Mus musculus: one gene and its partner. The protein of the gene in region 1 purifies or fractionates together with the protein of each later gene. This does not show direct contact. Links are inferred from orthologs where the notes say so. Each region holds a gene or a part of one and is shown on either strand. Other genes may lie near its edges. The genes, in order: Akt3 and Cdc37.

What was found.
Region 2: the proteins of Akt3 (region 1) and Cdc37 purify together in Homo sapiens (co-immunoprecipitation; 3 studies listed by BioGRID and IntAct, counting the BioPlex papers as one, with this or other methods). This does not show direct contact. The link is inferred for Mus musculus from reciprocal best matches to the Homo sapiens genes AKT3 and CDC37.

What each region holds. Positions count from the first base shown.
Region 1 is NC_000067.6:177,245,902-177,249,820, reverse strand, and holds the start of Akt3 (RAC-gamma serine/threonine-protein kinase), read left to right. Parts: upstream 1-1,053; 5' UTR 1,054-1,099; coding exon 1,100-1,145; intron 1,146-3,919. UniProt on the Homo sapiens protein: AKT3 is one of 3 closely related serine/threonine-protein kinases (AKT1, AKT2 and AKT3) called the AKT kinase, and which regulate many processes including metabolism, proliferation, cell survival, growth and angiogenesis.
Region 2 is NC_000075.6:21,147,449-21,151,367, forward strand, and holds the start of Cdc37 (hsp90 co-chaperone Cdc37), read right to left. Parts: upstream 2,487-3,919; 5' UTR 2,410-2,486; coding exon 2,308-2,409; intron 1-2,307. UniProt on the Homo sapiens protein: Co-chaperone that binds to numerous kinases and promotes their interaction with the Hsp90 complex, resulting in stabilization and promotion of their activity. Inhibits HSP90AA1 ATPase activity.

The DNA of each region.
Region 1 (3,919 bases):
TATGTAAGGATGCCTTGAAGAAACCTTTTACTAAGTTATCATGTAAAGACCTAGGGGATAAACTTCTGGTTAATATCTTAGGAAACACTGTTTTCTTCTCAGCAGCTCTCGTCTTTTTTGTATTACAGACATTAATACTGAAACCTATCATGGTTTTGAATTAGCAGTTTTCCTAAAACATTTCATTCCAAATTTTTGACTTTCACAAGTAGAGTTTTGAAATGAAGAGTGCCAATTTAGGAGTGAGGTACTCCAAATTCAGATTTTGGCTCTACAGCTTACTACCTTGAAATCTAGCAATTAGTTATTCTCTTTGAGCCCCAGGCTCACAGTTCTGTGAAATGAAGGCCGAGTGTCCTAACAGAGTTGTAAAGATTATCAGAGAATGACAGATGAACAATTTTGGCATGTCTTTTCTACTTTTATATTTCCTTTGTTCTACTTTTTGTATCTACCCAAGGAAATAATGTTGTATACTTAATGTAATTTACCTAAAATATTTTTAGAACAAGGCAGATTATATGAATGTTAGTTTCTTGCAACATTGTATTTTACATAAAATAAAGCAATTAAAACTATAATGATTTTTGAAATTAAAGGGATGTGGGCCACTCAACTTTCATTCTTTCTCCCCTTCATCCCAAATACACAGTACAAAATGTGCTTTCTGTATATTTGTAGATCTGACAGTTATTTTGTTAGGACATTTAATTTCAGTCTCTTAAGTTAAATATTTCACTATCATTTAACATCTGCCACAAGACCAGAGCAGTGTATTCATAGAACCATTTATTAATCCCCCCATGTTTGAGAAGCTAGACTTTATGTGCGGTCAGGCCAATTGAAGACATTTACAAAGACTTAGTTGTTTGTTATTGCTATGTGAGTTCAAGAATGGAAAAAAAAAAAAGAAATTCTTTCTTCAATACTTCCTTCCAGGCTGAGTCATCACTAGAGAGTGGGAAGGGCGGCAGCAGCAGCAGCAGCAGCAGCAGCAGCAGCAGCAGCAGCAGCAGCAGCAGCAGCAGCGAATCCAAACCCTAAAACTGACCTGCAAAGCACCATTTCTCCAAGTTGGGGGGCTCAGAGGGGAGCCATCATGAGCGATGTTACCATTGTGAAAGAAGGTTGGGTTCAGAAGAGGGGTAAGTTAAGTGCTGAGCTGTGAGTGGGTGCTGAGAGTTGGTCTTTCCTCTGGCGCTGTTGAATCAAGTGGGAAGTGCTGTCTGATAGGGCTGAAAGAAACTTTACCATGTATGTTAGGAGTCTGCTTATTTAGGGATTTCCTTCTAATTCTTTTTTTTTTGTAGTTTATAATTATGACGTTAGATTTTTGCATGCATGCATGTTAGTAATGTATTTTTCTATAATGTCTTCAGATTCAACAGACTTTACAGAATTTAACATAGAAATGAACTCTTGTGTCTATAAATGATATATTGATATTTAGATAAAAATATGGCTCTGTGTAAATTTGTATGGTAGCATAAAGAATTAATATAGTAAGGCGAGGGCTTACATTTAAACTGTTAGACTAAACAGACCCATAAATTAGGTAAATTAAAGCTCTTATATAAAAATTCAAATGTGGACAGTGATTTTTTTTGTTTAATTTTATATTTTTTGTTTACATGATCTACTTTTACTGTATATTTCCTGTCCACTCTTTTTTGATAAAGGCATTATTTTTATTATTAAATAACTGCTATAAAATTTAGTTTATAATGTGAGTGATCACCTCCTTACTTAATCTATATGTTTATTAGAGATCTGGACTTTAGGCTAGTTGCTCAGCAATTATACCTGTCTACGTACATGGCCAGATTCAGTAGACTGAGGAATCCTTTTGGCCCTATTTGAGAGTTGAAAGTTACCTCTAACCACTGACTTTCATTTCTTTGAAAATCTTTGGTTAATGCTTAGGCTAAAGAGCTGTTGTCAGTTTTTAAATGGAATTTTAAAATAGGCCTTATCAAGTTATAATTTACATACAATAAATATTCCAAAAAACCCTTTTAATGGGTTGTGCCTTTTTATGGTGTACATTTGTGGTGATGTAACAAACACTACAGGCCTAAAATAGAACATTTCTATCACTCTAAAAAGTTCTTTCCATGTTGCTTTTAGTTCACTGCTTCTCTTTCAACTTTGGCAATCACCTGATGTGTTGTCTCTTACTATAATTATGATTTTCAAAGATTTCAGTTCAGTGGACTCATAAAACCCATGGTCTTTTGTGTCTAGTTTCTTTCCTACTCACACTTCACTGCTTTATCCATGTCGTTTATGTGAAAAGAAGAACTACTTCAGGAAATACTATTCTTCATTTATTTGTTTATTTTTAACTAATTTTCTTTTTGAAACAGAATCTCACTTTATACCCAAGTTGCAGTTAGACTTACTATGTAGCTCAGGTAGTTATTCAACTTGATGATTCTCCTGTCTAGGTCTCTTGAGAACTGGGGTTATAGGCATGTTTTACCACTCCTGGCTTTGTCTTTTTAATACTTGGTAGAAATTTGGTTTGTCTCTGGATATTGTGAATAAAGTTTTTATGAACATTGAGTACATGATGTTTCCATTTGTATTGGTAATAACCTAGGATAAGATTGCAGGTTATATGGTAAGTGCCTGTTTAAATTTATAAAACTGCCAATTTATTTTCCAAAGTGACTGACCATTTGTGTCATTATATTTGTCCTTTGCTTTATTCTCTCATGTATTTGGAAAGTATTTTCAGATTTTAGTGTTGTGTTTTTTGTTTTCTTTCTTAACTAGTTTATATTCTTTCACCTTTTTAGAGGGGAGCAAAGGAGAGGAAATGGCAAGTCACTTAAACCTCTAAAAATTTCCTTTATTATTTCCTAAAATTTGATCCTAAGATCATTGTAAGACTCAAGTGAAATAATGAATCTGCCTTTCTGTATACTCATGTCTGTCTAAGGTCTTAGGGTGGTTCTTAATTCTGTAAAATTACATCTTTTCTGAAGTACCATGATGAAAGCTTAGTGTTTAGCTCATAAGATATATAATAGAAAACAAAGAAAATGGTACATAAGAAATTTTGTTGTTCAGAGGTCCTCCCCCAACGTGTATCTGCCTTTCTGCATTCATGTTCGTGCTTATTGAAAAATAATAGCCATCTGAACATATTGTGAGTAGTACTCAAATGTATGAAATGAAATGTAAAGACCCTTCTGTACTTTACCTCTTCAGCTGGTTCTTCTTCTGTTGATCAGTATCCTAATTGTGCATATAATATACAATACTTTATTTTCGGATAGCCATTTTCTCATAATCTAGTGTTTCTGTTATGAAAATGAAAAAAATACCTTTGAAGGCCGGCTTATCCTGCTCACCCCGCTCACCCTGCTCTCCCCGCTCACCAATTCACCCTCCTTTTTTGGGTGGGGTTGGGTTTCCGGCTAAGACTTTGATGTTAGATCATCACTTTTGAGAACTTTTATTTCTAAATTTGCTTCTTGTAAACTATGTTGAATTCCCAACATTCCCTTCATGGATTGTGCCATCATTAATGCTTATTACATATTGTCAAGGCTTATAGTAGTTAAACTTGTTGAATCTGAAAAGCAATGAATAACATTATAATTCTTTAATGTTAGTGATATGATAGTACCCTAAATATAAAAGAGATTTTTCACACCTCAGTTCTCAATAGCATGTATTCTATAGTTTATATAATGACTATTTTTTTTTTGAACTTCTTTTCTTATCTTTTTGATTTTCTTTCCTATTTTGACTTTTCAGACGAGGTCTGACTACATATTCTAGGCAGACCTTCAACTTGAGTTTCTCCTACCTCAGTCTCCCAAGTTTGGAATTGTCGATATTGGCCACAGTATGGCTTTCCCCTGAACATTCTGATGGCCATGTTTTCCCCATGCTGATTGAAGGACAT
Region 2 (3,919 bases), on another chromosome or scaffold:
ATCCTTTGACTGCCACAAGGATACCTCGGCACACATACATAAGAATTAACACACACAAAAAAATTAAGATGTAACTTAAACAAAGAGTATAAGACACACAGGTATATGGGTATAGAAGTTTTAATTTGGGGAGCAGGTTAGGCCATTGTCTCTTTACTGCTGCGACAGAGTTGGAACCCAGTACCTCTTGCACGCTAGAGAAGTACTCTACCACTGAACCACACATCCAGGCCACCCTCACATCTTGGTAGTATGCTACAGGCCTGCAGGTAATGATGGCACAAGGGAGGGGCAAGAGCATGGCTTGCTCACACTTGGGGTTCTAAGGTCTCAATCTGGGGCGTCTGTTTTGGAGAGATGTAAAACTGCAGAGGACTGTATTTTATTTGCTTGGTGGTTGACAGGATCCCCTGTAGCCTGTGCCAGCCTCACACTTACCGTGGCTGACGACTTTGAACTTCTGACCCTCCTGCTTCCCTCTCCCCAGTGCTCAGACTACAGGCCTGCCCCACCATGGCTAGTTTTTAAGCAGTGCTAGAGATGGAGCCCAAGGCAATGCCATACAACTGAACTCCAGCCCATTTGGTTTTTGATATTGTCTCATGTAGTCCAGGCTAGCCTAGAATTTGCCCTATATCGAGGACTGACTCTGAATCCCAGATCCTCCTTCCTCGTCCTCCTCCTAAGACCTGAGTTTACAGGTGTGCTACCATGCTCAGAAAGTAAGGTTATGTGGGAACATTATCTGGGAGGTCCAGAGTTAACTAGGATGCTCTGAACCCTGGAGAGAGACAGATGAAGCTGGAGGGAACGGGCAGGTAGGACAGGACAGGCTTGGTTTTCTGGGTTGGTGAGCTGTCTTTTCTTTCTCTTCCTCCCCTCCCCCCTCTCTTTATCCTACCCGACTCCCGGCCCCATCCCTCCAGACAGGGTTTCTCTGTGTAGCCCTAGCTAGCTGTAGAACTCTCTGTAGACCAGGTTGGCCTTGAACTCACAGGCCTGCCTGCCTCTGCCCCCTGAGAGCTAGGATTAAAAATGTGTGTCATCATCATCTGGCTCCTGGTTTGGTGAATTTTCAAAGATGGCTACAGTTCATATAGGAGCCAAGGTGGGAAGGAGAGGGTCTACTTACTATACTAGAAGGAGCAGAGGTTCTAACAGGAAGTTAGGTGGGTGGGGTTTCCTGGAGTAACAGGAAATAAGAGTCTACAGGAGGTGAGAATAAGGAGAGCCACTGGAACTGAATGATGGGCAAGAGTGGAGATGGAGGTCAAATACAGAGGATAAGGGGGCTCTACAGGTATGTCCCATGTGGGACTCAAGTCTATAACCCAGGGAAAGGGATCCTGGACTGGGGAATCCCAGCTGCAAGCTAAGATTGACAGTTAAATTAAGGGCTCATTTAGTTTGGAAGTTGGGGGGGGAGGGGGTCGTCTCTGGGCCTTTAATAGAAATTCATGCCTAAGATCCTGGGAAATAGATGCCATAGTCAGAAGTTTTGTGGCTCCAGACTCTAAGTAGTGAGGAGAGGCAGAAGGGAGACGTGCAATATGAAGTGGGTGCGTGGCTGGGCTATGAGATCACCTAACAGAACCTGGGGTCCAGACTCTGAGGAAGAACAGAAGGTTCTGCACAGGATAGTGGGGACCCTACACACAAGGGTCAGCTTGGGGATGGGGAGAGGCAAGACTCTGACTAAAGTATTACCAACTGATAAAATGGCTCAGAGTGTAAAGGTGCTTGTGGCAACGTGGGGCGACTGGAGTTCCACAGCCAGTTCCAACATGGTGAAAAGAGAGGCCCAACTTCTACAAGTTATCCTGTGATCACCATAGGCATGCTGTGCCACGTGCACACGGGAACACACACAATAAATAAACTTACAAACAGAAGAGAACCATAGCACAGAGAGAACGCCTGGAGATACAGGTCAAGAATTACGGTGAAGAAGCCAGGAGTCCTGGGATGGAATTAAAAAGTCCGGCCCTGCATGAAGGCACATGTCTCTAATCCCAGTACTGGGAAGGCAGAGGCAGGAGGATCACTGTGAGTTAGAAACCAGCCTGTTCTACACAGCAAGTTCTAGGCCAGGGAAGGTTACACAGTGAAATTTTGTTTCAAAAAAAAAAAAAAAGAAAAAGAAAAGAAAAGAAAGAGAAAAGTCTAGATTGTGGAGCAGGCGGCTCCAGATGTCAATAACTAAGGTCTCCCCCGCCCCCACGCCAGGTGGCCTGGGGAAGAGGTCAGAACTCTAGAGCGGGGGGTCCCGGGAGTGGGGGGGAAGGGGATGAGCGCGCACAGCCCCACCTGGTGCCGCCAGCGGAAGAGGCTGGCAGTGTCTATGTTGGGGTGCGTCTCGTCCTCATCGTCCGACACCTCGATGTGATCCCAAACGCTGTAGTCCACCATCTTCGCTTCGGAGGCCCGGACTGGCTCCCGGGGCTCCACACGGCCGGGCGCTGAACAGGGACCCACAAGGGCTAGAGAGTCCGCTCGGCGAGCCCCGCCCCTTCCGCTTCCGCCCAGGGCGCCGCGCAGGACGGCCCCGCCCCAGCGTCGGCGCGGGACGTTACGTCCTTAGCAACGGGAGTCGGCGGCATTGGCAACCGGAGGTCTTCTTTAAAGGGCCAGGAGTATGTGGTGAGGCCTTCTGGAAGTTCCCGCCGAAACCAGACTGACCATCCTTTAGAAACAAAAGGTTAGTCGCGTTGGGCGTGGTGGCCCACGGTAATCCAAGTACGCTAGAGGCAAAAGCAGGTGGCTCTCCAGGAGTTCTAGTCCAGCCAGGGCTACATATTGACACTGTCAAAAAGTCAAAATTGGCTGGGCGGTAGTGGCGCTATGCCAGTACTCCGGAGGCAGAGGCCGGCGGATCGAGGCCAGCCTAGCCTACAGAGTAATTTTAGGGACGGTCAGGGTTGTTATACAAACAACACTCTAAAAAAAAAAAGTCAACATTGCATACACTAGCAAGATTTTATCGAAAGGACCCAGATGTAGCTGTCTCTTGTGAGACTATGCCGGGGCCTAGCAAACACAGAAGTGGATGCTCACAGCCAGCTAATGGATGGATCACAGGGCTCCCAATAGAGGAGCTAGAGAAAGTACCCAAGGAGCTAAAGGGATCTGCAACCCTATAGGTGGAACAACATTATGAACTAACCAGTACCCCGGAGCTCTTGATTCTAGCTGCATATGTATCAAAAGATGGCCTAGTCGGCCATCACTGGAAAGAGAGGCCCATTGGACACGCAAACTTTATATGCCCCAGTACAGGGGAACGCCAGGGCCAAAAAGGGGGAGTGGGTGGGTAGGGGAGTGGGGGTGGGTGGGTATGGGGGACTTTTGGTATAGCATTGGAAATGTAAATGAGCTAAATACCTAATAAAAAATGGAAAAAAAAAAGTCAAAATTGAGGCTGGAAAGTTGGCTCAATAGTTTGGAGACTGGCTGGTCTTCCAGAGCACCCGGATTCTGTTCCCAACACCTACATGGCCACTCACACCCATCTGTAAGTCCAACCCAGGATATATATATTATGTCCCCATTTGGCCTTTGACTACACCAGGCATGCATGTGGTGGACAGATATACTTGCAGACAAAACATTAATATACAATTTGTTTTTTTTAATCATGTTTGCCCTTAATTCCCACCCCACCCCCACCCCCACCAGAGTCTCACTGTATATAAGACAGCTCTGGCTGTCTTGGAATTCACTATGTAGACCAGGCTGACTTCAAACTAACAGATCTTTCTACCTCTTCTCCCCAGTGCTGGGGCTAAAGGTGTGCCCCACTACACCAGATCTGCCCTTAAATTTTAAAAAATATTTATTTGTTTGTTTGTTTGTTTGTTTGTTTTGAGACAGAATTACTCTGTGTAGCCTTGGCTGTCCTGGAACTCACTCTATAGACCAG